Pelodiscus sinensis: one gene and its partners. The protein of the gene in region 4 interacts with the protein of the main gene of each other region in a pairwise test. Links are inferred from orthologs where the notes say so. Each region holds a gene or a part of one and is shown on either strand. Other genes may lie near its edges.

What was found.
Region 1: the proteins of ENKD1 (region 4) and UBXN11 interact in binary tests that used the Homo sapiens proteins (3 or more experiments, as listed by UniProt). The two-hybrid records come from large-scale screens. The link is inferred for Pelodiscus sinensis from reciprocal best matches to the Homo sapiens genes ENKD1 and UBXN11.
Region 2: the proteins of ENKD1 (region 4) and MIPOL1 interact in binary tests that used the Homo sapiens proteins (3 or more experiments, as listed by UniProt). The two-hybrid records come from large-scale screens. The link is inferred for Pelodiscus sinensis from reciprocal best matches to the Homo sapiens genes ENKD1 and MIPOL1.
Region 3: the proteins of ENKD1 (region 4) and BEGAIN interact in binary tests that used the Homo sapiens proteins (3 or more experiments, as listed by UniProt). The two-hybrid records come from large-scale screens. The link is inferred for Pelodiscus sinensis from reciprocal best matches to the Homo sapiens genes ENKD1 and BEGAIN.

The regions. Positions count from the first base shown.
Region 1 is NC_134735.1:1,833,177-1,840,843, forward strand, and holds the start of UBXN11 (UBX domain-containing protein 11), read right to left. Parts: upstream 3,011-7,667; 5' UTR 2,979-3,010; coding exon of another isoform or gene 2,944-2,978; intron 1,623-2,943; 5' UTR 1,597-1,622; coding exon 1,532-1,596; intron 1,156-1,531; exon of another isoform or gene 944-1,155; intron 821-943; coding exon 783-820; intron 1-782. UniProt on the Homo sapiens protein: May be involved in the reorganization of actin cytoskeleton mediated by RND1, RND2 and RND3. Promotes RHOA activation mediated by GNA12 and GNA13.
Region 2 is NC_134714.1:46,601,386-46,609,308, forward strand, and holds the start of MIPOL1 (mirror-image polydactyly gene 1 protein), read right to left. Parts: upstream 3,002-7,923; 5' UTR 2,764-3,001; intron 81-2,763; 5' UTR 47-80; intron 1-46.
Region 3 is NC_134714.1:23,664,548-23,672,272, reverse strand, and holds the start of BEGAIN (brain-enriched guanylate kinase-associated protein), read right to left. Parts: upstream 3,016-7,725; 5' UTR 2,930-3,015; intron 1-2,929. UniProt on the Homo sapiens protein: May sustain the structure of the postsynaptic density (PSD).
Region 4 is NC_134722.1:46,626,263-46,633,868, forward strand, and holds the start of ENKD1 (enkurin domain-containing protein 1), read right to left. Parts: upstream 3,017-7,606; 5' UTR 2,305-3,016; intron 2,072-2,304; 5' UTR 2,054-2,071; coding exon 1,969-2,053; intron 1,624-1,968; coding exon 1,408-1,623; intron 700-1,407; coding exon 527-699; intron 175-526; coding exon 13-174; intron 1-12. UniProt on the Homo sapiens protein: Microtubule-binding protein which regulates microtubule organization and stability. Promotes the stability of astral microtubules and facilitates the proper orientation of the mitotic spindle.

The DNA of each region.
Region 1 (7,667 bases), on a different chromosome or scaffold from region 4:
CTCCTAGGCCTTGGTTCACATAAAAAGTATCCCGCACAGGGGTGGAAAAGATTAGAGAGAACATTGGCAGGGATGTATCTTTAGGGAAGGAGAGGGTGGGGTACGAAGTGTGACATGGTCCCATTCGTCCACCCAAAGACTTCCAAAGCGATGATTACGAAGCATAGAGAGAGAGTACAGTACTCAAAAGATAATACAGTCCACGCTGTGAGGAGGGTCCACTCTAAACAGACAAAGATCAAACACAAAACTGTACTGGGAGACAGAGACCATGGCGCTAGGTTCCAGCAGCTTTTGCTGGGGGTGAGAGGGGAGAGCAGTGGAACTGAATTTGTTTCAGAAAAAAAGAGACGGCAGCCAGGATTAGTGTTTGTGGCCTTGCAAACCCATCCAGAGTCCATGTAGCAAAGCCACAAGACAGCGGTGCAAAAAGAGAGAACTAGAAAGCTTAATGTTTTTCAAAGACAAAACTGTTCTAGTTCTCTCTCATATCATATTGATTTTAAAAATCTTATTTATGTTACTTGTAATTTTGTTAACGTTAATGAGAGGGATTGGTGTGCCAAGTGTGGGAAGAATGAGGGAAGCAGCTAGCTTTGGAATTGTAAAGCATTTGAGAGAGTCTGCATGTTCTAACAAATCCTGGGATTGGGAAAACTAGCTCTTACTAAGCTGATTTCTGACACATGCGGGAAGGAGAGAGAAATCAAGGACAAGAAAAGAACTAAGCACATAACACTTAAATGCAAAACACATAAAGGAAAGAGAGAGGCCTTACTTACCATTGTGGGCACTCAGTTTAAACGAGAGAGTCCTTTTCCTGCATGTAAGAATAGGGAATACAGAAAACAAACAGCAGACCGATTAATTAGCTGCTGCATAATTGGTTTTAGGTATCAGAGACTTGTAAATTACATAAAAAATAATCTTGAAATACATCCACCTCTACTTTCTCCCCAGTTCACCACACAGATAAATCAAACAAGCCCCCACTTTGCTGTCTGTGATGAGTGAGCTCACACACAAACAACATATTTGGAGTTGCTTAACAGTAATTAAGATCACTGGAAGCTACTTCATATAAGGAAAAAGTGAAAAGAAGACAAACAACAAACTCGGCCAACTGTTGCTACGCAGAATTGTGCAATAGTCTTTCTGGCCTCAACTGGGGACCAGCTTGTGCCTCAAGGCCATAGAACCAAGAGCCCCGGGTAATTCTTGCTATCGTAACTGCAGAGACTGCTCTGGATCACTTAGGGCCTCACCGTGGAATCAGGGCTCACAGCTGGAATCAGGATGGCACAATTCTGGATTTTAGGGCTCAATTCTGCAAGGTGCGGAGTGACTCCAGAGTGGTACTGACTGTCGTTACCTTGTACTTACTTCAATGGGACCCAGAATATTGAAAGATCAAGACCAAAGAAGAACCCTCGTATAGCGTGAGGACAAAAGCAGCTGGGATCAAAACTGCACAACTAAGCAAGGGTGGCCACAAATCTTAAAGCAGAAAGAGCCCTCATGTCTCATTTACCCTGGACTCTGTAGCTGCAGTGGGACTCTGCGGTGCTTTCCCAGGGAGGAAAGAGGAGAACTCATGGTTATACCTTAGACAGCTCTAGATCCTAGGGAACAAAGACAGTGTTACAATGCCAGGCGGCGGGATGACACAGAGTGAAGTGCCTTGGGAGAGAAGACTGAGGGGCACGTTGAAAAGCAGACGGCTCCAGGGTGTATTTTATCACCACACACTTAGCGGTTTCCTTCAGAGCAGGGTGGTTGAGCAGACCAAGGAGTTTAGCATGTCATACAGAGCTCATGAGGCTTGGCTGGGTAGACTTCGGAGCTGAGGCTGGAGCCAAAGCTCTGGGATCCTCCCACCATGCAGGGTCCTGCAGCCCAAGCCCAGAAATCTTCTCAGCCATGAAACAGCCCCACAGCCCGAGCCCCAGGAGCCCAAGTCAGATGGCATGGGCTAGCAGCAGGTTTGTCTCTGCTGAGTAGACAGGCCCATAGAAACAACGCTCAGGTATTTCATTCTGGGCCCTGTGGTCTCCACACAGGCGGCAGCCTCCAGGGGAAAAAGGAGGGTGACCACAGTCTGCACCATTTCATGCCAGAAAGTCTCAGGGGGTTAGTCTGTCACTGAAAATACAGAAAACGAGGACGGGTCCCACGGCCCTCAGACAAAGTCTGCCGCTTCCCTCGGGCTGCTCTGGCGGGACAAACTCACGACCTTCTGCCATCACCCTACGACATCACCCCACTCCGGCACGCAAGCGCAATGACATCGCAAACGCCCACAGTGCGACAGGAGGCCTCCCGCCGCCCTGCGCTGACATCCCCGCCCCAGCCTGGAAACACAGCGACAGCCAAAAGCACCCCAGGCACAGCAGTGACCCCCACAATGCCCCCCATGCAAGGCAGTGACCCCCTCAGGTACCCCCCATGCAAGGCAGTGACCCCCCCAGGTACCCCCATGCAAGGCAGTGACCCCCCAGGCACCCCCATGCAAGGCAGTGACCCCCCCAGGTACCCCCATGCAAGGCAGTGACCCCCCAGGTACCCCCATGCAAGGCAGTGACCCCCTCAGGTACCCCCCATGCAAGGCAGTGACCCCCCCCCCAGGTACCCCCATGCAAGGCAGTGACCCCCCCCAGGTACTCCCCAGCACAGTGGTGACCCCCCCAGGTACTCCCCATGCAAGGCAGTGACCCCCCCAGGTACTCCCCAGCACAGTGGTGACCCCCCCAGGCACCCCCATGCAAGGCAGTGACCCCCCCCAGGTACTCCCCAGGCACAGCGGTGACCCCCCGGCACCCCGCAGTGACGTCACAAGGCCTCACGGCGCAAGCCGACGGGCCCGGCCGGGGGGGTCTGTGGCTCGCTGCCCCCACGGGCGGGAGGGACGCGCCGCAGCCCGCCTCGGGCTAGTAACGGACTCACCCTCCCCCCGGCGGGCTCGACCCAGGCGACGCCATTTTGTTTGCCGCGGTTGCCCCGGTGACGGCCGGGCGAGCTGATTGGCTCGTTTAAGGTCACGTGGCTCGACCCCTTCTGAAAAGACTACCAGTCCCAGCATGCAACGCGCTCGGTTTTCTCTCTCTCTCTCTCTCTCTCTCTCTCTGACCTTTCCCCATCCGCCCCCCCGACCTTCCCGGGCCCTTGGTGGGACAAGGCGGGGCTCGGGGCTCCCCCTAACGGGCAGTAGCTGTGGGGACCCCCAAGGGGGAGGGAGGGGTAACCCCCCCAGCTCAGCCCTCCCCCCCAGCACTCGCAGGGCAGGCACGGCCGATAGCCCCGAGGCGCCACTGCCTGCTCTGCACAGGGGTCTTCCTGCCGTCCCAGAGCCCCAAATCATCGGTAACTGCCATCGGTAACCGACATCGGTAACCGACATCGGTAACTGCCATCGGTAACCGACATCGGTAACCGCCATCGGTAACCGCCATCGGTAACCGCCATCGGTAACCGTCATCGGTAACCGCCATCGGTAACCGACATCGGTAACTGCCATCGGTAACTGTCATCGGTAACCGCCATCGGTAACCGCCATCGGTAACCGACATCGGTAACTGTCATCGGTAACAGACATCGGTAACTGCCATCAGTAACTGCCATCGGTAACCGCCATCGGTAACCGACATCGGTAACTGCCATCGTAACTGTCATCAGTAACCAACATTGGTAACTGCCATCGGTAACCGACATCGGTAACTGTCATTGGTAACAGACATCGGTAACTGCCATCAGTAACCGCCATCGGTAACCGCCATCGGTAACCGCCATCGGTAACTGTCATCGGTAACCGTCATCGGTAACTGTCATCGGTAACCACCATCGGTAACTGTCATCGGTAACCGACATCGGTAACTGCCATCAGTAACTGTCATCGGTAACCAACATCGGTAACCGTCATCGGTAACCGCCATCGGTAACTGTCATTGGTAACCGACATCAGTAACCGACATCGGTAATTGTCATCGGTAACCGACATTGGTAACTGCCACCAGTAACTGCCATTGGTAACCGACATTGGTAACTGCCATTGGTAACCGACATTGGTAACCGTCATTGGTAACTGCCATTGGTAATCGACAATGGTAACTATCATCAGTAACCGCCATCGGTAACCTCCATTGGTAACTGCCATCGGTAAGCATCATTGGTAAACATCATCAGTAACAGACATCAGTAACTGCTCCACAGACATGCCTGGCAAGAAGGATAACTCTGTCCCCCTACTGCCCGAGAACTTATTCTTTGCCTTCGGAAGGTTGACTTTGAATAGTCTGGCATGATGTGGACAATGTGAGTTTTAATGACTGTTCTACTCAATGTCAACAGTAATTAAATTCTTGGTCTGAACAGCCCCCAACCATTTTCCACAACCATGAACACTGAAATAGAGTCAAAGTCTCGGGGGTTGCCGAGTGGAGAGAAAAGGGAGGACTCTCAAAATGTATAACAGAAAAAGGGGGGAGTACCTGTCAATTGTAGTGCCGGTGCTAATGAGGCTAATATGGAAAGATACTTTCAAATAAATTTGATATTTGTCCAAATTATACAAAAAATACAAATCAAATTCTGCCAAGCCTGCGCAGAGGGGAGGCATGCAAGACGAGAGAAGGTTCTTCCACTGCTCCAGCTTGTGTTGCCTTGTTCCCCAGGAGAGGAGTCCCTCTGTTGTGCATTTCCCTAATGCACATACTTCCAGACCAACAAAAGAGCGATTCCTCCTCTCTCTCAGCCCCAGACATATCCCCACGTTTGGAAGGGTCTCTTGGGCTCTATGCTCCACCATCTTGTCTGCAGCGGTTGCCCTGGTTACAACTAGGCGCAACTTCCCATGCAAAACCAGTGCTGCACATCAGCGGAAAACCATCCACCTGCCTTGCTACTGGCTCTGTATAAAATGCAAAGGGGGTGTGAGTTACTGAACAGACGGTGACAGTCCCTGAAGCAAGGACCCCATGCGTGCAGCCCCCAGCTCTGGCACCCCTTCTTCCCACCACTGCCCCCCCGATCTCCACATTCACCTCCACTGGGATCACTTCTCCCTCCAACTGCCCCCCCATATTACTGCCCCCCCACTGCATGTGTCCCACTAGCTGCCTTCCCCAAAGAGCCCATTGCACCTACCCATCCACTGCCCCTCCCCCCACTACATATTATTATATCTGCCTAAAGGGATGAAGCCTGAGGGAATCCCTGGCCTCTGGGGACAGATCAAGTGCTAGGAGGCCTTAACCCCGCCTCCCATTAAAGGAGCAGTCCCTGAGGGATCCCCCGATGGGATATAAGAGGATGGATGAGGCATAACCCCCTTGTTAATGGGGCCAGTGTGTCCCCATCCCGACACACAGTGGCAGGGAAACAACAGTCCCCCCTCTATAGTCGGGCACTGAGAGGGGAAGCGACTTGCCCCAGGAAATGGCACACGGCAGAGCCCAGCTCCCCTCTGGGCTAGGCCTGTACTCGAACCGCAGGGTTCAGGCTGGCTCGCCCTTGCAGTGTACTTGGGAGGCTCATGGTTTTGGGATTTTAAAGCCTCAGCACCTGGAGTCACATTGCTCCATGAGGCGCTCTGCATTCCAGTAAGCAGCGTCGCCAGACTCGTGCCTGTGGAGAACAGATGAACTTAAAATCCCACGGCTGTGTTCAGCTTTGTGAACTGATTATGCCGGGTGTTGTCAACACTTTTGCACTCCCACGCTCAGCTGCAAACAGACTTTCTAGTTGTCATTTCATGGTTCCTTCCCTTCTCTCACTTTGTTTTTCTGACCACTTCTTTCTTCCTGTTTTCTCGGATCCGCTGTACCATTTACAAAAACTCTATCAACAAAAGATTTTTAAATATCCAAGGTGGCTGTTGGGTCGTCATCATGCTGTTTCTGGGGAACCCTTCTCGCCCATCTTTTATTGGGCCAAGCTCTGTCGATGGTGCCATGCCGATTGACAATAGCTAGGAATCTTACCTACTTGACCTGCTGATTTTGTGCTAAGAGCTTTAGATTACCACACTCGCGCCTCTCATGGGCTGAGAACTGTCCCCAACAGACTTTCATCTCTACACTTCTGCTTACTGAAATTAGCCAAAAAAGGAGATCTAAAATAGCTACAGCAAAGTCTCCCATTTCTGTTTCTTTCAGATGTTGCCTTTTACTCCTTTCTCTTTCCAGACACTGATATGTTTCATACGCACAAAGAAATCCCACATAAATGGGCCTATTTTATCCCTGCGTCTGGAATATTTTGGCCAATTGCTTTTTTCAAGCTGCCTTAAAAAGGCACAGAAGAGGCTGGCCTAATTCTACTGACACCGGTGTGAATCGGGAGTAACTTCACTGAAGTCAAGGGAGTATAAAACGGGTGAAAACTCCAGGGAAGCTCACTGGATTTGCGTAGTTGCCGCTGAAGGTTACAAGGAAATGTTACTGTGCGATATCTAATCTAATCTAGCATCTTGCTAGCATCCGTTTCTCAGTACAACTGTCCACATTCGGGAGTTAGGAAATGCTTGTCACCATCAGCTGGCTTCAAAGTAGAGCTGTAAAAGTTTTGAAGAGAGAGGGGCCTCGGCCCTGATCAAAGAACCTCTGAGCGTTGTGGACTTGCCAGCTAGATCGGAATTTTGCAGTTGAATCTATTTCTAGTTTTCTGTTGCAGAAGAAGAGGGCTTGTTACCAAACCCAGCATGCAGGCCAAGAGAGCAGAAAGTTTGGCTCAAGTTTGCACACATCCCAGTGAGCCCAGGCTGCTTTATGGCTTTCGGTGAAAACTCCGATTACGATTGTTTGGAGGTTTCTAGAAAAACTTGAGCACGGGAGCGGGGGAACCAAGGCAAAGTACAGATCCACCCCGTCCTCTCCAGGGTGTGAGCCCCAGGTGGCCCTGTGCTTTGGGGACCAAGCACTTCCTGGAATGGAGGGAGACGAGAAGACTGACAAGCTGGCCTGTGATCGGGGGTCCTTGCAGAACTCCCACCCCAGCTGCCAAACTCTCCTGCAACCCCTTCCGGCAGCTTCAAGAGAGTCAACCCAAGCCCGTTGTGATGCCACAACCCCTCACAATCCTCCCCCCCATACACAGCATCACCACCTCCCCAGGAACCAACTCCATTAACCGCCAGTCCAGATGTGCAGTTTACAATCTGTCCGCCTCAGCCCCCTGGCATCAAAACCCCTGGCTCGTTTCGGTCGGGGTTGGAGAATTGCCCATACAGAGAGGCTGTGGTTTTACCAGTGCAGCTGTCTGGTTTGCTGTTGTGTTGGGGTAGGGGCTGGATGGGGGGGGAGGGGGTGATCAGTGGTATGATGAGCATAGTGTCAGCAAAGCCATGCTGAACAGCCGCCCAAGTGCTAGCAGTGTCTAGGCGTGGCAGGGAGCTTGCAAGGTTTGATTGGCAGATGCTCTGCTACAGGCACACTTAGAGCTTCTGCTTGTGTGCTAGGGCAGGCAGAAGACGACGCTTCCTTGCACAAGTAGCATCTCAGTCACTGAGCTTTACCATGAAGACTGTCCTGCTTTTCACCGCTCTTCTCCTGATGAGTCTGGCAGCTGTCACCGCACAGAAAAAGGTAGGACCAGCCCTAACGGTCTGGGTGGAGACCAGATTCCACTGGCCCCACGGCTGGGGCAGCTGAGCCCAAATCAGCTACATGGGACTG
Region 2 (7,923 bases), on a different chromosome or scaffold from region 4:
AATTTTTCAAATTAATTTTAACATGAGAACATAAGAATGGCCATACCTGGTCAGACTAAAGGTCCATCAAGCCCACTATCCTGTCTTCCAGCAGTAGCCAATGCCAGATGCCCCAAAGGAAATGAACACAAAAGGAAATCATCACAATTGCTCTCCTGTCATCCATTCCAGTCTCTGACTAACAGAGGCTAGAGACACCATTCCTACCCATCCTGGCTAATAGCCATTGATGGACCTAACCTCCATGAACGTATCTAGTTTTTGAACCCTGTTAAAGTCCTGATCGTCACAACATCCTCTGTCAAGGAGTTCCACAGGCTGACTGTGTGCTAAATGAAGAAAAACTTCATGTTATGGGAACAAGTAAATAATTTTCCTTATTCACTTTTTCCATTCCGGTCATGATTTTATAGACCTCTATTATATCCCCCCCAATCTCCTCTTTCTAAGATGAAAAGTCCAAGCCTTTTTAAGCTCTCTTCATATGGGACCCATTCCAAACTCCTTATCATTTTTGTTGCCCTTTTCTGAACCATTTCCAATGCCAATACATCTTTTTAAAATGAGGCAACCACATTTGTACGCAGTATTCAAGACGTGAACGTACCATGGTTTTAGAGTTTAAAATGTTTGCTAACCCACACAAGTGAAAGGAAGCCCCAGCACAGACTTCAGAGGTTTGAGCTAATGTGTTATGTGCTATGCTTTTGTATTTTTGGTTGATCCCATGAAATATATTTTACTGCTGTCATTTGTCCACAAATGTAACTGATTCCTACCCACATACAATACTACAAGAACAGCCTAGCCTGGTGATTCTGAGCTGCTGGAGCTGGGGATATAACTCAAATGCATTTGACTACATAAAATTATGGGTAACAGTTGAGACAAATATTTAAATTCCCAACCTCCTGCAGCAGAAGGCAAGAGCAATAAACAAATCAAGCAAAAGCAATAAAAATTATAAACTCTGGATTTATGAAAACTAAAAATATACATTGTCTAAGTAACAATTAAAGGCATAATCATGGATGGTGCTTGGCACAGACTTCACTGAACGATGCATTTCAGAATTTCACAGCACCACATCTTATGTTGAGACGCAGTAATTTTAAATAGTTACATGATTGGTCTAAAAAAAAAAAAAACAGGCACGGAGAAGAACTCATGGAAAGAATATAGCATGATAGCTGGGAGTAATAGCAGATTAAATTTAGAAAGGTAAAATTCAGTCTGACTTATCAAGGAAAATTTCTCTGCAGTGAGATCTATTAGCGTGGTCCCATTACTTACACATTTTCAGCTAAACTAGACACAGCACTAGAAATATATACAAAATAGTAATCACTCATGTGTTGGCCAGGAGATGGGTTGCATACCCGATTATTTTAGGCCTTTTCCATCTGTAAATTATAGATCTCTATTTACATCTTACTTAACTCCTCCTCTCTCCAGTATATTTGACAGCTTGCCTCTTCCAGCTGCCAGGGTGACTGTCAGAGTGAAGTCAGTGCTGGTCCCTATACTAGTAGTGATGACTGTTAGTGTCAATATCATTGTCCCTGAGCTTAAAGTGTGTCACTTCTTGCTTTCAGTGTAACCTCACTAATCTGCATGAACTGCATTACTAAATTTATTTTTTTTAATGTTACTCACTATCACAGAATGTATTGCTTGGTTTGGCAATTAGGGTTTAGTTTAATTTTGAATTTTAAAACTTCATAAAATATGAATGAGACCACAGCGGTATAAGTTATGAAGATTTAGTAATACAGGCCTATCCCACAATGCTCTTGTGTAAAGTGGGGAGAGACTAGTATTATACGCAAATTACAAAATATACTGGCAAGTTTGCAAAATATAGGTGCAGTGGAACTTCACGCATTCTGTATTGACCAGTCCCAGTACCCTCCCAGCCCCAGAGTTACTTCCAGATCTAGCTCACTCCTGGAAGAATAGTTTAATGGCCCTTTGGAATCAGAGTGATCTCTTCTAATCAAGATAAAGACGGTATATAAGCACACAGGGCTCTTTTACATCCTCCTACTCCCTGCAAATTGTTACATAATACTCAGAATAAGGACCTTCTCTCTGAGCCTCCAATATCTAACCAATGAAGCTAGTACTTTCTGGAATGTCTCTCCACAACCATGTCACACTTCAAGTCACTTTTTTTTGGTTCCACTCTCTCTCTGTATATATAGGTGATCTGAAGGCTGGATTAAGACGCCTGGGGACTGATATCCTGCATTCACAGGGACAGAATCGACACAACACAGGTTTCCTCACAAGCGGCTAGGAGGACTGAGTACCTCCAGAGGTTAGAGAGTAGGTCAGTTGCTACAGCCCACATATCCTTTACCTCTAATAAGGACAGCAGTAATCTTTTGTGACGGGCGCACTATGAAACAGTTGACTTGGCCCACCCGTGCCCACAGCCCAAACAGAATTCTGTAACGCACTGGGCAAGGCAGGGCAGGGAAGCAGAGGCAGAGAGTTGTTGGAAAGACAGCGCACGTGCAGCCCTCTCGTGTGTGAGCGTGGTCCTGCTGAGCACAGGACGCAGTGAACACAGCCCCCTGGTCTGCTCGCAGCACACAATCCAACAGACACATGCCCCACTGGAGCCCAGCCCAGGGTCTCCCCACAGGCAACGTGTGAGCAAATCCTAACTCCAGCACAGCAACTCCAAGAATCCTACACACGCAGCGCCAGGCCCCCCAGATTAAGCTGCCTGGTGAAATGCTCCTGGGAGCCAATTACCTGTGTCCTCCTCCTACGGCTTGTGCCACGCACCCCAAAGAGGAGACACTGCTCTGCGCGTGCCCACAGCCCCCCTCTGCCGCCGGCCCGCGCCGTCAGCCCGGCCCGACAAACAAAGCCCCGAGCGCAGGCGGGCAAGGGCAGCGGGCGCGCCCTGGCGACACCGATGGGGAGGAAACACACAGCCCACGGGAGCGCGCAAAGGCGAGCTCCCGCAGGTCAGGAGGAGCAAACAGCACAGCCGGGGGTGGGAGGCGGAGCTAGACACTGGGCGGGATTTGATCAGCTGGTCACCGAAGCGAGCGACGAAGCGGGGGGGGTTGGAGCTTTCGGTGGACGCTTCTAGCGGGGGAATTTGGGTGATTGCTACTGACTTGCTGCTTTGGGACGCGCTGTGGTGGGGAACTTAGGGGGAAGGGATGCAAAGGCGTGGGAGTTGGCTAATAGGCTGGAGCACACTAAGGCTTTTGGGGGAGGAGAACAGTTCCTGTGCTTGTCTGCCCTGTGTTTGTTGTTGTGTTGCTGGTGTGGTTTGCTTTGACTTGAAGAATCTGATGTGTTTTTTCCAATGAGGGAGAGGGGGAGCGACTGCTGTACTTGTTTCTGAAAGGATAGAATGGGGGCCCTGACGTAAGCTGTTTTCAAGAATAAAGTTAGTTGAATAATGAACGTGTAGTGGTGATTATTCACTGACTAATGGTATCACTAAGGCAACTAATAATTTGGTATCAGGCCCTTTGTAAGCCCTGGCCTAGCTGTTCTGACTTTTTTTTTTTTTTTTTTTTCAAAAATGGGCACTTGTCTTCAGGCTTGCTGACGGGGCAAAAGAGGCAATTGTCCCAGGGTTTTTAGAATTGCTGGGCTTTGGGACGCTTGGCCACCACTGCCACTACCACAGGAGCAACAGCAGCTGGAGCCCCAGGCTGTTTAAATCACTCTGGCTATTTCTACACTGGTGGATTCTTGTGCGCAAGAACGGCTGTTCTTCCGCAGAGCATCCACACTGCCCGCCAGCTCTTTCGCAAGATTTACAGTACAGCATGGTTAGAGAGGGCTTCTTGCATAACAGCTACGCTCTTTTCTGACAGGCGTAAGCCTTCTTGCGCAGGAGGTCTTGTGCAGGAAGGCAATGTGGCTAAAATGGCCATCAGAGCTTTCTTGCACAAGAAACCGTCCACACAGCTATGGATGCTCTTGCGCAAAAGCAAATCTCTTGCGCAAAAGCACATGGCCGTGTGGACGTGTTCTTCTCAAGATTTCTTGCACAGGAAGTCTTCACAAAATGTTCTTGCGGAACAACCCGCCAGTGTAGACATAGCGTGGAGTGCACTGCACTAGATCCATAGGCTATGTTGAAGGCCAGCTGCTCCCAGCCCTGTCCCTTGCACCTGAGGCCACATCCCTTCTGGGGGCATGGAGCTGCACCCCCACCTTGCCCCAGGCCTCAGCATGTCTGTTGGCCCCCGTTTGTTCAGTTTAATCTTGCCAGCTCATAAGTTGGCAAGGTCAAACAGGACAGATGCTGAGTTCTGCCAAAAAATTGGAGTAGGCTTCTCCTAATTCAGAGCAAGGGAAGACACTAGCCATGTACAATGGGCTCATGTTAGCAGTCACACCAGTTGGCTTAGGCAAGTCACTCTGGCAGCAGAAAGGGCAGGTGTGGGGAGAGAAGGGATTTGAGCTTAGGCCAGCCTCACATGGTGGCAGGAGAGGCTTAGGCAAATGACGTGGATCAGCCCCATGTGGTATCCCATTTTCACTTTGAGAAATATGGTCACTCTAAACCCCTCACAGAGAAAATGATCAAATAAACTATATGTGAATATTACTGAGCTAGTTCTTTTAAAGAGGCTTCTGAGATCCAGGTGAACAGATATGTAGTGTTAGGAAGAGCAGTAGAGGAAAAGGTTCATGAGAACACAGGATAAAATCTTGTAATGCTTTGGGAAATCTGCCTAGGGGGGTGCAGCCATTAGTATTTTGAGAAGATCAGTATTATTTATTTATATTTATTATATAAATGTTTATAAATAAAAATATACATTATATAAATGTGTGTGTGTGTGTGTATATGTGTATACACACACACACACACACACATTTTAGAAGTATTTTGAGATGCTAAACGAGAAAAGCTATATGCTATAAAAGAAAATAACCTGAAGGAGTGTTTAACCATTGGTGTTTGGGGTACATGTTACCTAGTAATAAAGTGACAGTGATTTGTTTTTATTTTAAAATTGTAGATCAACTTTATGGTTTCCTAAAGCAGTAATGTTTTACATAAGAGAATGGTATGATGACATGCATCCACAACAGACACATTTCAGTGTTAATTATGTACATCTTGGCTATTTTAAAGCTTAACTTTATTCTTTAGACATACACAAATTCCTGTTTTGTTGCAATGGCGCCTGTTGCAGATATGGAAGAGTATCAGGAGAAAGCAGGCAAAGCAGAGAACAGTGAAAGGGGAAACTTGGAAAAGGCCAGTTGGTGGGCAGCAGCAGCAACACATAACCAGCTGCTGCCTGGTACCTGCTTGCACACAACCACAGCAGCTCACCACCAGTACCAGCTGGAAATGGGACAGGAAGTGGGACAGAGCCCTGCTGGCAGACATCTGACATTCTGCGTGAACTATGCTGATGGACCAGCAGGGGGAGCAGCCATGCTGCATCTTTATCCCACACTGCCTTGCACACCCACTCCCATCTTAGGCACTGGACTTCACTGATGGTCAGGCAGCTGGCAAGCAGGGATCCAGCCAGTAGCAGGAGCTGCCAGTATTGTTGGTGGTGGGATACTGAAAATACAGGATAATGTGTCCATTTTTAAGAAAAAGTTGGGACACTTGCAGGACTTAAATATGGGATTGCACCTTTAAAAACAGGATGTCTGGTCAATGTATGCATTGCTATCAAAGGGGATACTGAATAGCTGATTCTCCATCTATGGAGAACCAATGATGCTCAAGTAGTTTTTGACAACCTAAAAAACTGGTGGCTTGATGATCTTATGGTATTTATCAAGCAATGTTCTTACTGAGCAAAACCAAGGGAACTAATGTAAATGTTAATGAAACAATGTTGAGATTTTAATTACTTGAAGGTCAGCACATTCAGAGTTTATTGTCTTAGGGGAATTTACTCTAGATTCCCACCACAATGATTACTCATAGTTTTTACATACATATATTAAACAATTCAAGTTACTATTTGTTTCCTGATATGTGCAAGGGGAACAAGCTGTGTTTGCTGTGGAACAATAATTTTGAATTTCCTGATTTTTTTGGTACAATTACAATCTCAACATATAGCAATTCATTTTTTTTACATTTAATTAATACTCTACATGTTCATACACTGTGCAGTGACCATCACAGGTTTTGCATTCTTTGCCGTAAGCAATTAACAGCTAAATTTTCTTACAGCGCTGGAATATCTTCTCAGTCAGCAGAACTTGTTGATAATACTTTATCACAAGAGAGGCTCAGCAAAAGAACTTATCAGAATTGTACTGTAGCTTGGTGAAAATATCTAACAACAAAATGTTTTGAGGTCTATGCTTCCGAGTAATAATGCATTGGCTACTCATTTTCCAAGTAACAAAACACATCTGGGAGTGATGTGGCAAATTCTCAGAAAGACCTGCAACTGGAGGAAAAATTCTTTATCTAAGAAATTCAGACAATAATTACTTGCAGTCAACTAAAGTATCTTCTTTAAAATGTCACTTGTCTAAAATTATTGCTTTTTTGCTTAGAAAGAGCCTGCTTTTTTGTCTCAGAAACAGACTGAAATGGTAAAATTAGATGAATTGTGGTTTCTGATAACTTTAATAGTCCAACTTGATTTCTCTTCATGTTCCCTTTGTAAATCCAAGGCTAAGTCTACATTGCACTTTACAGTGCTGTAATTTTCTGGCTCAGGGGTGTGAAAAAATACCTCCAAGCACAGCAAGTTACAGCACTGTGAAGAGCCAGTGTGAACCAGAATATAGCACTGGGAGCATCGTGGAGGTGATTTACATACGAGCCTGGGCTGATTTCTCTCAGCGCTCGTGCTGTGGCCACTTTTAGTGTAGACTAGCAATGGGCAACCACGATTAGTAAGTGGGCTGCATGAATGGCCCTCCATGTCAGTGAACATCCCACTCTGTCCCCTTCCTCCATGTCCCTCTTGTGCACTGCAGCTCTGCACTTACCTGCTCCTACCACTGCACTCCCAGCACTTTTGGAATGCCATGAATCTGCTGACTTGCGCTCCGACCCTGCTCCTCCTCCATCCCTCCCAGAGCTTGAACAGCAGTGCTCTGAAAGTGCTGGGAGGGAGGGGGAGAGGAAGGAGCGGGAAGTGCAGAACTCCAGTGCCCCAGTGTGTGAGAGGCACACAGGGAATCCGTGGTTTGCAGGTGGAAACACTTTAATTCTAACGCAAAATATATTTTTATTTCTAGTAACTCTGAATTTTTTTCTTTAGTTACTAATTCTTTAACTCTATGAAGGCATTAATTCTGTAAAGCATTTTCCAGTTTCACGGCACCTCACAAAATTTAAAGTCTTCATCTCCCCACCATATGACACAGCTAATTTTTTATTAAATATTATACTTTTTACTTTAAATATATTTATTAAATTATACATCCAAAGAATCACTCCAAATAAAAAAAAGAGCTGTTGCGCAAGAAGGCAATGTGGTCGGTCAACAGGGGTTTCTTGCACAAAACAGCCCTATGGCTAAAATGGCCATCAGAGCTTTCTTGCACAAGACAGCGTCCACACTGCCATGGATGCTCCTGCACAAAAGCACAACTCTTCCGCAAAAGCACATGGCAGTGTGGACACGCTCTTGCACAAGTTCTTGCGCAAGACTGGGCAGTGTAGACATAGCCCAAGTATCTCCAGTCATCAGTTCTTTTCTTTCTATTGGGTGACTACAATGTTCACTATTATACACTTTTTTATTCACAATTACTCAATTAAGCTTTGGTGCCTTTGTCTTCTAATGTAACTGTTTCTCTTAAAAAATCTAGTTTCCTCTTAAACTTGTCTTCTAAAATCATGCTAAAAAGAGAAGAAATATCACATTGACTTTAACCACTCCTCCGTGTTGGTGATATTCACTGCAGGCCAAAAGCCTGGCTCCTTGTACCCAAGGA
Region 3 (7,725 bases), on a different chromosome or scaffold from region 4:
ATACCCAAAATATGAATATACAGGGCTAACCTTTAGAAAGTAAACATCTTCCAACAGTTACTGTAGAATGGGATCAGAGATAATACGGCTGTTGCCTAGATTGGGAAATAGCATGACATTTTAGATGCCTTGGGTGATAACTATTGGTAAATATTGAAAATCTACTGGCAATTGCTCCAGAACTGTTATGTACCATTCTACAATTTCTGTCATCCAGGGTGTGTCTAGACTATACCTCTCTTTTGACAGAGAGATGTAGATTAGGCACACCGAAATTGCTAATGAAGCAGGGATTTAAATATCCCGCACCTCATTAGTATAAACATTGCCGCCGGGTTGTTTCGAAACAGAGGTTTTTTTTGAACCCCCTCCCCCCGGCAGTCTAGACACGAATCTGTTGAAAATAAAGCCTTTTTCGACAGATCCTGTATTCCTCAAAAAGATGAGGTTTACAGGATGCGTCAAAAAAGGCTTTATTTTCAACAGATTCGTGTCTAGACTGCCACTTTTTTTCAAAAAAACTGTTTTAGCATAAACATTGAAGGTTTCTTTTATGAGGTGCGGGATATTTAAATCCCTGCTTCATTAGCAATTTCAATGTGCCTAAACTACATCTCTCTGTCGATAGAGGGATGCAGTCTCAATGTAGCCCCAATGGTTGTGTTCTATAACCCAAACAGTATGCTGAGAGAAAGAAGGTGAGTAACAGGGACTTTTGGGCCAGGTTTCTGGAAGCACAATAATAAATATCCCCAGTCTGTAGACACTAAGAACACCAAAGCTCGAAAGTGTGAGTTAAAAAACACTATTCAGCCTGAACAATCTATGCCCTGTAAACGTAATTCAGATTCCCCAGGAACTAATGCGGCTCTCAGGTACATATACTTTATACTCATTGAGTTGAATGGGAGTAGTAAAAGCTTACTTGAGTGCAGAAATGGCCCCAATGTTACCTGAATGAAATGTGTGTGGCTGAGTATTTAAAAGAATCTTCAGTTTGCTGACATTTGCAAATGATTTTCAGCTAGGTGATCAACTTGCTATTATGGCAAATCAGATACGTACTGTCATCATGAGCTCATTATTTTGAACCTCACCTCCCTGTTTTATATACTGCACTGTGCTATTTTAGGTCTTGCAAACTGACAAGTTTCCTATTCTGCAAGAATCTAAATGAGTACACCTCTAGCAAGTCTGACATTGCTCAGCATATTGTGAAATCAGTTCAAAACTGTTCTCCCAGTTCTAATCCATGACTTATTAGTTGAGCAGTGGGTGGTTTATTCTACACACTCAGCTCTATTGGCTTTTCAGAATAGGGTTACATTCTGTCTTCTCCTGTGTAGATACACTGAAGAAAAGGTGGGGCAGGAAACCTACTCTCCTTCTCACCAGAATTTGTACCAAGGAACTGGTCAATAGCTGTCCATAAGCAGGCTAGCAAGCTGTGGATTGCCATACAGTTCCAGAAGGGCTAACATCTGGCAGCAGATGCTCAGGCAAACCCATGAAGCCCTATTTATCAGTGGGTGTGAAAAATACTGTACAGCAAGCTCCTGCACAGAGAGTCTGTCTGCATTAGCCAGGACAGGAAGCAGAGATGCCCTGAAGCAAAGTTATTCTCATATTTGGACCATGGTAAAATTAGAAGTCCTCTGCAGTGATGTAATTTAAGCCATTTCCCCAGTATTTGACATATTCACCAAACATAGAAGTCCATTTATTAAATGGTTATTCCCCCATCTTCATTAAACCCTATCATATATGATATGCCAAGAAGTATATGAAGAATCCTAGATATATTTTTTCTTGCACTAAGAGCTTGGTAAGTGTGGGAAACCACAACATTTCTCTGAAGAAAGCTTCCATTATTTTGTTGTCTTATGAATTTTCCACTTTGAATATTTGTCCCAGTTAAAATTTTTTAGGAGTGAACAGTATTACTTCTAGGTACCTGCAACTTTTAGGTGGATACCAGCAAAAGGAACAAAGGAGAAATCCATGAAGATAGTAGGAGAAAATGAGAGACAAGCATGGGGAAAAAATGGAAAACATCATTAGTTTAGTTTACTTTAGACTATGTTCTACGTAGAAGCATCAAGCTAAAATTATTCATGACTGCTCCATGCAAGTCTGTCCCCAGTATATCTTTTAATCATCTATGCATCTGTTGCTTTGAGAGAACCTGACTCATGGAGACCAAAGAGTAAAAGAACACACAAAAAACCAGATCTAGAAATATGTAAATATTGGCAATTTAAAAATGTAATCTGGTCATATTACTGTTGCATCAATAATGGATGAAATTTGTATGTATTTGTCATAATCACACTAAAATAAAAGCTATTAATTGAGGCTATGACTACACTGCAGGGTTTTTCCGGGATACCATCGGTATCTAGGAAAAACTCCGCTGCATCCAAGGAATGCATTTGCTCTTCCGCTTTTTTTTTTTTTTGTGTGGAAGATCAAATGTGCTCTTTGGGGGAGCCCTGTATACCTCGTTATGAGGGATAAGAGCTCCACCGAAAGAGGAGGCTTTTCTGCCATTTGTCCCCATCTAGACTGGGCCAAATACAGAAAAGCCTCTTCCGGAAAAGCAATCGGAAAAAGTTACGCAAATTGTGGTGCGCAATTTGTATAGCTTTTTCTGACAAAGGACTGTAGTGTAGACCTAACCTAACAGTAGGGAAGAATCTGAAAATATTGCAGCTTTTATACACACTGGTAGTAATTACTACAGGCTGCCATGAGACAATCACCTAAAATAATGTCAAATGATCTTGCAGCTATTTCCCTGATGTAGAAATATTGTACAGTTGGGGTGTAAGCAACTAAAGGCTGACATGAAGAAAAGGCACAAGTTACTGACATCACTTGGAAAGTTGGAAAGAAAACATAACTTAACAAAACATCACTTTTTAATTACCTGTCCCAGAGGGTAGGTGAAGATTTTGCGAGCCTGCCCTGGAGAATTCTAGGTTGCCATAGGCAAGTTGGCACCCAGGAATTTCGTACCCTGCAGCATGAATAGAGGATAAACCATGGCTAGGTATGGCTCATAAGGCATCTACATGGAAACCTAGCTAGCTAACCTGCTTACAAGCAGGTTATGTCATAATTTGAATATTTAAGTAATATAATGAAATTCAAACTATATTACCTTAAAGCAATTCTAAATCTACACACAAGATGTTGTTTCAACCCACATCTTTGTTGGTTATTTTACGTGAGACCTGTTGTAGGTCACAAAGATTTGTAGGCCCAAACTCATCCTGGGTCTAAATGGGTGCATCTCCATTGACTTCACTAGAGCAGCACCTGCTCAGTAATTAGATCATTATAGTTGCACACTTTGACATCAAATTACAGATTAACATTTCATATCAAATGAGCCAACTTTTGTGCATTGTGGCAGTAGTATGTTTAATAGTTTTAATTAAAACTGGGCTGAAATTCAAGTTCTGCATTCTATGTACTGTGTGTGTCCAACCACAGAAGAAAAATAGCTGTACCATGTTTGGTGAAAATGGAAAACATAAAAGAGAATAAACCTGAACAAGCAACATAAGCCATGATTAACACTCAGCAGAAGTAGATTCAGAGGCAACAAAAGGACAACAGGTAGGTACATCATCAACAGGAACTCCTATACAACCATTTATCGCTGCCCGACATTAACATCAAGCAGTGCAGTGAAGACAAGCTATTTCCCAGTATTCTAGTCCTTATTCAGGTAAATTCCTATGAAAGTCAATGGGAGTTTTTCCTGAGTAATATCTGAGTAAGAACTATAGACTTTGGCCCTACAAGCTGAGTCCGGATTGTTCTCCTGCATGCCTTAAATATCTGCTAATGCAGCCTAATATTCTTGGCATGGAAACAAAGACTGTGATTTTTGTTCACGTAATTACTATTCATATTTAACAACCAAGAATGTTTATATAGCTTACAATATATCTCATGGCAAATGACAACATGTACAGGATATCCTACTTTCCACTGTTCATAATTGAGTACTTAAGAACTACCCATCAGCTTGTGTTTTATAGGCTTCTCTATACGTAGTGGGATACATATTCAAAACAGCATGTAATTGCTGCACCTGTATAACCCTGCAAAGGGGATATCTAAATAGAACTGGAACAATGATGTAAAGGACAATCTTGCTTATTTCTGCTGTTACAGTAAAGTGAATCTGGCAACAGCTACATCTCAAAAGCAGTGCACTTTGAATACTCTGATGAACAGCGCTATGTAAGTGCACCTAATCACCACAGTAGCATTCTTGTGACAGATCCTGAGGTCCTGAGCCCTTCCTCAGATAATTTCCATTGAGCACCGCAGTAAAATTCTGCTCAGTCAAGTCCGTGAAATCCTTCCATATTGATGTAGAGCTATCTGAGAACAGAATTTGGTCCAATGGGACTTTGCCAAAGTAAAAGGTGAAAGATTTATACGATCTGAAGATAAATAATATAATTAAGAAAAACCCTCTAGATTATCATCTCTCTCTCTCTCTCTCTCTCTCTCAAAGTTTTTCCTGTCAGGGGACAGAATGACATCATCTGTCATCAGCATCAACAGGCGCTCTCAGCAAAGCAAAACCAGACAGAGAGAGGGGGGGGCTAGATGAATATAGCGAGCAGGGGGCGCAGCCCCCTAGTATCCATTAAAGATGTTACTATATACTTTACCCACATTAACTAATGTCTGCTGCTGCTGCTAATATCCATTGTTTGAGTGTGTGGGCAGTAGAGTGATTCCACAGTCTGCCATTTAACTAGGAATTGAAAACTAAAATTTCCCTTCTGAAACTGAAGAATTGTGCAAAGCAAGTCTTAAGCTCTGTATCAAAATGCCAGCTCTGCATCACCATTCAGAGGAATCTGATGAGAGAGTTCTTTAAAAGAACCCTGAATGATCTAGATGATTCATAGATGAGGGAATAATCTTACTGATGTTCTAATGTAACCATTGCACAGGACAATTTTATGTGCAGCTCACAATTAACAATTGATTGAAGAAAGTGCTGTCGTTTTGCTGTCTTGCCATGAGGGCTGGTATGATTCCAATACTCTAAGCATCTTAATGAATAAAAACTGAAATGATGCCTAACCATGCTAGAATGTGAAAAATTAAATACTCTAGTGTAAATTAGAGAAGAGCTTATTAGTTTCTAGATATCTTCATGTTTCAGCTGCTGATTAAACATAGAGAGAAGTTTATCATTTTAAAAGGTCAGCTAATGTTTCTTGTTTTGAGGCAAAGGTTGGTGTGTGATGGCTTAGCCAGCAGTAACACATCTCTGGCAAACTTTCCTATTTCTCTGAGATCTCATGATTAATTAGCCGTAGTCTACACTATGGAGTTATTTTGAATGAACTCCCCTTATTTCAAAATAACAAGCAGAGCATCCACATTACCAAGCCTGTTATTTCAAAATAAGGGGCTGGTTATTTCGAAATAACAACTCCTGCTTTCCACGAGGAATAGTCCTTTTTTTGAAACAGTTATTTCAAAATAGTGGTAGTGTGGATGCTCCACTGCTGCTATTTTGAAATAACTACTCCCCAGAGTCATTCAAAAGAATTACTCCCCAGTCCTTCCTGGAGCTCTAAGTCGAGATAGCGTGTCCACATGAAGGGAGCCTGCCTCCGACTAATTTTGAGGTTTCCCTATAGTGTGGACATGCTATTTCAAACTAGTTATTTCAGAAGTTATTTCAAAATAATTTCCTAGTGTAGATGTGCCCTTAGGGACTAGATGATGCTTTAGGCATAGCCCAGCACAGGGAGTGATACATAAGGTGCTCTATCCCAGGACTGACTAGCACTGAGGCAGAAATGAACCCCACTTCTCTTGTTCTGAAAGGGAGAGAGGACTGAGGAGCAAGAAGGGAAATCAGATAAATTACAGACACCTTTGAAATGGCGTAGTTTGTATTCTTTTCCTCCCTTCTCTGAACATTCATGGACACCTAGTCTGGCCAGCAAGGAGGTGGAGTCACAAAAATGTCCCCTCTCCACTACTTTGCTGAAAGAAGGAAGTACTCAAGACACATAGGCTGGTTCTGTACCAGACCCAAAATCAGGGTATGCCTGTCTTAGCTGAGCAGAAGTGTATACATGCCCCTTTGCCAGCATATATACCTTGTTTCCATGCTCAGTTGAGTTGGAGATGGGCATAGTACTTAATCGACAGTAAGAGGGTTTATAAAAAGAGCAAGGCTCACTGCCTCTGAGAAGTTTTGTTTTCTCTCAGTTTGGACTCTTATGGATCGTGTGTGTGCAAACATCTGAGGATGTAAAGATAAGGGACAGCTTGGGGGGTCAGTGGATTTTTCTTCATCACTCTATTTTACAGGTTAGACAAAGATGAAAATTAAAAAAGGAAGCAAGGAGAAATGTCTAACTTTCATTGAACATTTGTTTTGAGTGCTTTTTTAGTGAGCTGCCAATCTTATATTTAACTGTTTCTGACTTCGCCTTCTTGCAGTGATTATCCAGACCACTCTTAATTAATTACATATGTGCAATTACTTTATAAACACCAACACTTAGGAAATTTCTTCTGTGCTCACATTCTTATCACGTGGTGACTGGAAAAAAAACCCCTCCATTGGAGTACAAATCAAGTTCCTGAATTTGAAAGAGGTTTCACTGCAGTCTCTATTTTGTATATGCAGATCTACAGGTACATAACTGGACGCTGCATAAGACTGGCCTGCATCACACAATGCACTGTCTCAATGCCTTATTATTTGCAGGAAAATTTGGGACAGACAATGGTGAATACATGCTTCAGACATCTATGAACCTATCTGAGTGCTTTGGGCTTCCCACCCAATAGTGCAGATGTTGGAGAGAGCACTGGAGGATGCACTTCTGCTTTGGGCTTTGCTGGAGAGACTGTTTGTCCCTGCATGTAATGTGACTGGGGGAAGCATGGACTGCAGAGGTTAGGTCATGCAAGAAGGGCCCATTAAGAAAGTGGTCCAAGTAGAGGGGGGGAAAGGAAAGGAGGTGATAGCACTGGTGTTCTCCGGATTTAGACTATTAGCTAATATTGGTGAGCTCCCAACCACACTACTAGCACAATGACAAGGGATTTTTGAGGTACTGTGCCAGCTGGGCCCCATAGATTATGAGATATGATACTCCAGGAAAAGGAGAAAAACACAAATCTATTTACTCAAGGACAGGCAGAATAGGGAGGCACTTTTTATCACCTGAAGCACATTAGACAGTTCCTGGGATTGGTAAGGTAACACAGGGTGATTAAGGCCAAACTTTGCCACCATTGCAGCACCTCTTACTGACATGAAGGAGAGAAGATCATGGAAGGTACGGTGTTATGATTCTTGTAATAAGGCCTTTGTGAAAAGGCATAATCAGTAATATAAAAGGAAATGAAAGTGAGGATCATACAATGATACTTGCCTCTACAACCATACTGGCACTAAATGTCCCACAGAACCAGAGAGACCTGTAAAAATCCCTGCTTCTTTTCTCAGAGTTCAGACAGTACAAATGTCAAGAATGGCATGGCCTCCACAGAACACAGCTGAGAGGCAGGGAATATAAACCCAGAACTGATGGGGAAGGGATTTGGGAGATTCTGGCTATGTCTAGACTGGAGGCTTCTTTTGGAAGAAGCGTTTCCAGAAGAGATCATGTGAAAAAATTTCTTCTGAAAAAGAGCACCCACACTGCCAAAGCGCAT
Region 4 (7,606 bases):
ATGGAGCCTCACCTTGGCGTCTGCGCCCTGCACTCCTGCAGCTGCTGCGTCTGGCACTGCTCTGGACATGGCAGGGCTGGGCGACAGCGACCGGCGCGGCTGGACCCCGGAGCCGCAGCGGGAATATGCCCTCAGGAAGTTCTGAGACTCTGGGTTGGGCGGGGGAGAGCTCTCCTGCGAAAGGCAAACCACATAGCAGGAGCTCCAGGGCCGAGGGGCGACCCCAGACTCTACCGCTGCACGTGCGGGGAACGTCTCCTCCAGGCAGGAGTCAGGCAGGGAACTCAGCTGGCAGGGGAGACACGACCCTGCCTGGGGAAATCTCCACTGCGTTCAATGGAGCGACACTGTAGCACGAGAGAGGAATCCATGGGCGTGCCGGTGCATTTAGCACATCACACACAGTGTGTCGAGTGGCCCCAGCCAGGCCCGGCTTCACGCTGCAGCCGGCCGCGGCAGGGACTAGAATGCCCCCGAGACAAAGGAATTCTCTCTAGTCTTTTTGTGATGCCGCTGTGTGCAGGTACTGCAGTTTGGCCTTCACCTTGGACTCCACATTCTCATACTTCTGGGATTTCCACAGGGCCTTCATGGGTTTGGGCTGGCTGTGCTCCCGCGCCAGCTCCTTCTCCTTGCACCTCCTCTGGATCTCCCGCATCCGCCTCACATTCTCCTTCTCGTGGTCCTTGCACTCGCGCCCTGCACGCCCCGGCGAGACACGGCTTTCACCAGCAGGCCCTGCTGAGCCCCTTGGCACCATGACCAGGGCCTCTCTCAGCGAAGCGGCTCCCTTCACTGCAAACAGCAGCAAGCGGATCCCCTCCCTGTGTGCCAGCCGGATCCCTACCCCCAGAGCCCCTTGTTAGCACACCAAGACACTGGCTTTGCTGGAGTAACTCCAAGAGCAGCTGCTCGAAAACAGCCACCTTTGAGTTAAGACTCACCCGTGGTGGATTCTACCCTCGGGTGGTTGTTCCAAAGGCTAATTACTCTCCCTGGGGACAAATTTATACCTTCCTCCCCAACTCCCTCTGGCTTCATCTTCCAGCCACTGGATTTCCTGCTACACTGACAAGCCCATTTGTTCCCATGTAGGTAACTAGAGACTGCAACCAAGTCACCCTTTAACCTTCCCCTGGGCAGTTCTCAAGTTCTCTGCCTATCCCAGGCACTCCCCAGAGCTGTTCCCATTAGCCACGTACCAGGAAAACCACCTGGGATCTACCTGGCTCTTGGCCTCCATCATATGGCAGGGAGTTCCACAGGCTCACTCCCACGTTTTCCATACGCCAGGCCGGAGTCAGGGTGAGGCCCCACACAAATCCCCATCCTAAACCCTTGCCTCTGCACCAGTTCAAGCCTTCATTCTATCCTGCCCGTCAGCCCCACCTGCTCAATTGCACCTACTTTTCAGGGGCGGCTCCCTGTGGAGAGAGACCCCCTCCAGCTTCAGCAAGATCCCGACTGTCCCCATCTGCCCCTTCTCCAGGATGTCCTGGCCATTGGGGCGGATACGTGGGGGAGGGCGGGCACTGTAACACGTGGGATACAGGCTGGGATCGGGGGCCAGCGGGCCAGAGAGGAAGTCGAGCTTCAAGGCATTTCCTTCCAGCCTCCCTCGAGCTAGAGAGAGACAGCACGAGTCAAGGCATGCGGCACCTCCCCTTTGCTCCCCCCCCGGTGCCCCCACCCTGGATAGAGGGATGTTTAACAGATATTGACATCCCCCCACTTCCTACTCCTCACATCAGCCTCTCCTGGCACTGGAGGCGATGGGAGCTGAGAGCGCTCAGGGCCTCAAAGGAGCCGAGTGTCTCTGCAGGGCCATTCCACACCCTTTGGGGGAGAGCTGCCCCTCCACAGATCCAGGAACTGTGCAGCCAACAGAGGCTAGGGAAGGGAAGGCCTTCACCTGCACTAGCCACCCACGATTATGCAGGACCCCATCCATGCATCGCTGGCTCTCACCTGACAGGGGGCGTTTGTAATAGTCCGGGAAGAGTGTGGGGTCGGGAGGGATGGGCCCCGAGATCCTGGAAGGCCCCTCAGACATCTCGGCCAGGCTCTGCAGCTGCCATGGGGGACAGAAACCAGATAGTGTTTTCTGGGGAACCGTTCCCCAGCCACGGTGAAGATTTTAAATACGTCGGGGCCAGTGCTCTTCGCTGGGGCGACATCCCGCTAGAGAGAACATTGTCACCCTGCAGGCCAAGGGATCCCATCCGTCTAGACATGGATCAAGCTGCAGGCCTCCATGACCAGGGCTGCCCCTCTGCCCCCGAGCGCCCCCGTTTGCTGCAGTACCTGCCGAGCTAGGAGCAGGCAACAGGACGGGTCACTCAGTCAACTGATCTAGTTCTGTTCTTTCCCTCTGACGCACCTGGTATTGGCCACTGTTGGACAATGGGACACTGGGTAGAGAGACCATTGGTCTGAGCCAACATGGCTGTGCTTATAGCATCTCCCCTCACCCGTCTCCCTGCTGGGCTCACACGCTCTTGCCCCAGAGACTCACTCCCTACTCCAAAAATCACAATAAATTGGGCAAGTGGAGCAGCATCAACCCCCTGAGACATCAGGAGAGCTGCAGGTCCACAGGGTCCCTGACCTGCAGCGTTTGGACAGCTCAGCCATTGGGACAGACAGGCCGTCCGTCCGTCCGTCCATCCAGCGGGAAGATCTTTTTCTCCCGCATCTCAGCCCCACTGGGGTGTGATGTACAGGGAGATCACAGCAGCGCACCAGGGAGAAACAGAGCCCTTGATTCCACTTACAAGCTGATGAATTATTGATATGGAGCAGGGATGGGAGGGTCTATGACGCGAACGGCTAATCCGCCTAAGCCTGCCTGTCAGCAGTATGGCTCTTGAGAGAATGAGAACCATTAGCAGACAGCTAATTATCGCCCCCCCACTAGGGGCTACTGCAGAGGGGATAAATGCAGGGACAGTTACAGAGCTGTTCTAGAGCAGCCCCAGCTGTGGATGCTCCTACTCTGGCATCCTGGTCCAGTTCTGCAAGATGAACTTTCTAACCCTTGGCCTGTGGGGTCGGACTGGCAGTCCTGCCCCTCCCAGCAAGGTCTCTCGACCAAGCTAATCCCTAGAAAAACACACCCAGGGATAAATCAGGGATAAGGGATCTTTTGGAAAAGGCTTTATTTTCCGAAAGATCCCCGTCTAGACTGGCGCTTTTTGCCAGCAAAGCCCCGAGCTGGAAAAAAGCGGCAGCCATGTTCATGCAAATGAAGCGGGGGAGATTTAAATCACTGCTTCATTTGCAATTGCACTGTGTCTAATCTGCATCCCTTTTCCGCAAAAGGGGTGCAGTCTAGACACAGCCGTGGACTTTGGAGGGAGTGTCAAAGCAATCGGAGGGCTGTGATAGCAGCAGCCGGCTCCCGAGGGAACTCAAAGACCCACCGCAGACTAGCCAAGCTTCCCCTTTCTATTCTCTTGCCGCAGGGTTAGAGCACATGGAGTATTTGCTGCCTGGCCTAGCCGCGCAACCAGGCTTCCAAAGGAGGCCGGGTGACTTCCCCACCTGGAGCGCGGGATGGGCTGGCAGCAGATCAGAGAGAAGGGCCCATGTGGGGCTGCTGGCATTAGCCCTCCCCCTGGGAGAGGCAGGGCAGCTTCAGAGCCAGCGGGGAGGGCACTGTATCGCACAGGAAGCCAAGCCTGCACCCATCCACCTCAGGGGCAGAAATTTCCCCAGCTTCATGGAAAGCAGGAGCAGGCCCCAGGCCGTCAGAAAGCAGCTCAGGGAAGGGGGATGAGCGTGGAGCCTAGGGAGGATAAGCAATTAGGAGAGGTGGGGCCCCTGCCAGGGGGCCCTCTCCCACCCCTTTCGGTGTCCAAGCGGCCCCCCCGCCCCTCCCAGCACAGCGCCCCCCCACAGCGCGGCCCCCCCGCCCCTCCCAGCACAGCCCCCCCCCCACAGCGCGGCCCCCCCGCCCCTCCCAGCACAGCCCCCCCCACAGCGCAGCCCCCCCCCACAGCGCGGCCCCCCCCGCCCCTCACAGCACAGCGCCCCCCCCCCACAGCGCGGCCCCCCCGCCCCTCCCAGCACAGCGCCCCCCCACAGCGCAGCCCCCCCGCCCCCTCCCAGCACAGCGCCCCCCCCACAGCGCGGCCCCCCCGCCCCTCACAGCACAGCGCCCCCCCCACAGCGCGGCCCCCCCGCCCCTCACAGCACAGCGCCCCCCCCACAGCGCGGCCCCCCCCGCCCCTCCCAGCACAGCCCCCCCCCCACAGCGCGGCCCCCCCGCCCCTCACAGCACAGCCCCCCCCCCCCACAGCGCGGCCCCCCCGCCCCTCCCAGCACAGCCCCCCCCCCCACAGCGCGGCCCCCCCGCCCCTCCCAGCACAGCGCCCCCCCACAGCGCGGCCCCCCCCGCCCCTCACAGCACAGCCCCCCCCCCACAGCGCGGCCCCCCCCGCCCCTCACAGCACAGCCCCCCCCCCACAGCGCGGCCCCCCCGCCCCTCCCAGCACAGCCCCCCCCCCACAGCGCGGCCCCCCCGCCCCTCCCAGCACAGCGCCCCCACAGCGCGGCCCCCCCGCCCCTCCCAGCACAGCGCCCACCCCCCACAGCGCGGCCCCCCCCGCCCCTCACAGCACAGCCCCCCCCACAGCGCGGCCCCCCCGCCCCTCACAGCACAGCCCCCCCCACAGCGCGGCCCCCCCCGCCCCTCACAGCGCCCCCCCCCCCACAGCGCGGCCCCCCCCGCCCCTCACAGCACAGCCCCCCCCCACAGCGCGGCCCCCCCGCCCCTCACAGCACAGCCCCCCCCCACAGCGCGGCCCCCCCGCCCCTCACAGCGCGCCCCCCCCACAGCCCGGCTCCCCCGCCCCTCACAGCGCGCCCCCCCCACAGCCCGGCTCCCCCGCCCCCCGCAGCGCGGCCCCCCCCGCCCCTCCCAGCGCGGGGTCCACACAGCGCCCCCGGCACTGACCCGCTCGCGCTCTCCGGCGGTTAAAGGCCCGGCCCCCGCTTCTCCTAGCAACAGCGTCACCTACGCTTCCGGCCGCGGGGGCTGCTGGGAGCTGTAGTTCGCCCGCTCCCGCAGCGCCCCCTGCCGGCCGCGCCGACACCCGGCATGGGCCGATCCGGCGAGAGTGGGCCGGGCGTGACCCCTCCCATTGCCATATCCCCCCCGTTGCACGTCACAGTCGCCCAGATCGTTCCATGCTCCGCCCCCCCAATTCTGTGTCACGCTCCCCCCCAGGGAGTTCTGTGCCCCCCCAATTCTGAGCCACCCGCCACCAGCTCCGTGTCACGCTGCCCCCCCCAGCCCCATGCCAGGCCCTGATTCTTGTAAGGGCCGGCTGCTCCAAAGCTGGCCTCGCCTTGCCCCCTAATGTCCCCAGGGCCGCTGAGTACCCGGCCGGGCCCACACATCACCCCTTCCTTGGTCTCAACGCTGCCCCTGCACTGCTGGCTCAGTGTTTTGTCCAGGGGATTATTTGCACAATTATTTGTACAATTGTAGGGGTCGAAATTGAACCAAAGCTTGGGCTGAAAATTTCCCCCCAAATGTGTGCTCGGGGCGGGAGGAAAGCTGTCCTGGGAGCCGGGCTCCATTGCCCCTGCAGGGAAGTGACCCTCCCTCCAACTGAGGTTCCTCCCCAGCCCGGGAGGTCACCCTGAGTCCCGTTGCTGCTCCAGCCAGCGTGTGGAATCCACCTGGGGCAGGCCAACTCCCCGCTAGCCCGCGGAGGCCAGGCTGGTGCTCTGGGACAGGCATCCCCTGGCACAATACCCAACACCCTGCAGCTGTGGGCTCTCTCTGTCCGCGGCCCATTGTGCGGGGTGCCCGGGAATCAGAGGTAGGAGGTAAAACAGGGAACAGCGCGGTCCAGCTCCAACACAGCCTCAGGGCCGTGGTGTCAATGCACGGGGAGGGAGGAGGCCGAGGCACCGCGGAAAATGACCCCAGGTGTGGGCCACAGAGCACTGGCCCCGAGGACCCCATTCCAGACCATGCCCCAGACTCGCCACGTGGCCTTTGTCGTGGTCCAGCGCCACGCCGTGCCTCGGTTTCCCCAGCGGTGGAACAGGGCTCACGTGGGCGAGGGATCAAGCGCTCTGGCAAAGCACTGGGGTGGAGGGTTCGCTATCTGCCTGCAGGCAGCACCGCTGACCCCTGGGCCACTCGTTAGGGGGTAAGTGCTTCACTAGCTGGAGGCCAGGTGAGTTCCCAGCATGCCTCGGGACCAAACCCAACGTACCTTGCTGAAGTTCTGGGAGACCAGCAGAGAAACGGCGTCGGGAACACGAACCAGCCGCTGGCTCCTCCCTGGGTCTCCGCGCTGCTAAAGGCAACAAGCAGCCTCTTAATTGTTTTATATTAATTACTTCAAGCCCCTCACTTGGGCATTGGGAGGCTGAAGGAGCTGGTGCCCAGAAGATGCAAAGTGCAGCTCTCCCCCCCTCCGCCCCCCCCCCCCCCCCCCGCTTGGTGTTGCAGGGAGGCAGGGGGAGGGGAAGCAGACGGCCCCATTGCTGATTTGAAGGGAGCGGGGCAGACACACACTAGCTGCCTGGCTCCTTCCTACCCCCAGCACAGCAGAGGCTGCGCCCTCGTTCCCCTCACCCACCAAATCCCTGCTTGGTTCCTGGGGCTCTTAGAGCCATTCCCACTAGCTGCTCTGCCCCACGGGGGGAGGCTGGCAGGCCCCTTCTGCTCTCTCCACCCTCCTTGGGGGAGCGACCCTGGAGCCCTGACGGCTGGGCCCGGGCACAGGCCGCTGGGCAATTCACAGCCAGAAAGGGGCAGGCATGGGTGTCTGACCGAACACGGCAGTTCTGGCCTGGGGCGCTTCCACGGTAGCCGCAGTCATGCACAACGCCCACCGGCTGCAGGTAGGAAGGTGCCAGGCCAGACGGGCAGCAGGAGGGAAGGTGCCAGGTCGGATGCCCACCGGCTGCAGGGAAATGTGCCAGGCTGGACGGGCTGCAGGGGGGGAAGGTGCCAGGTCGGATGCCCACCGGCTGCAGGGAAATGTGCCAGGCTGGATGGGCTGCAGGGGAGGAAGGTGCCAGGTCGGATGCCCACCGGCTGCAGGGAAATGTGCCAGGCTGGATGGGCTGCAGGGGAGGAAGGTGCCAGGTCGGATGCCCACTGGCTGCAGGGAAATGTGCCAGGCTGGATGGGCTGCAGGGGAGGAAGGTGCCAGGTCGGATGCCCACCGGCTCCAGGGAAATGTGCCAGGCTGGATGGGCTGCAGGGGGGGAAGGTGCCAGGCTAGATGCCCGCTGGCTGCAGGAGAAGGCACCAGGCCAGATGCCCGCCGACTGCAGGAGAAGGTGCCAGGCTGGACAGGCTGCAGGGGGGAAGGTGCCAGGTCGGACACCTGCCGGTTGCCTGGGGGAAGCCCCGCAGTGTCCGGTTTCTGGAGCCTATGAAGCCTGCAGGCATGAAACCAGCGGGGCCCCATTGAGGAGGAAGGGGACGCGACGGTCCCGGGGACCGTGCCGAGCGAGCCTGAGGGGACCGTGGCGATGGGGCAGAGGGAAACGCGGGGGAACCAATGGCTCGCAGGGCACTGGCGGGGGGAAGGGCTGCTGGAGCGCACCGGGAGGCTGCCTGGGGCCCGGCTGC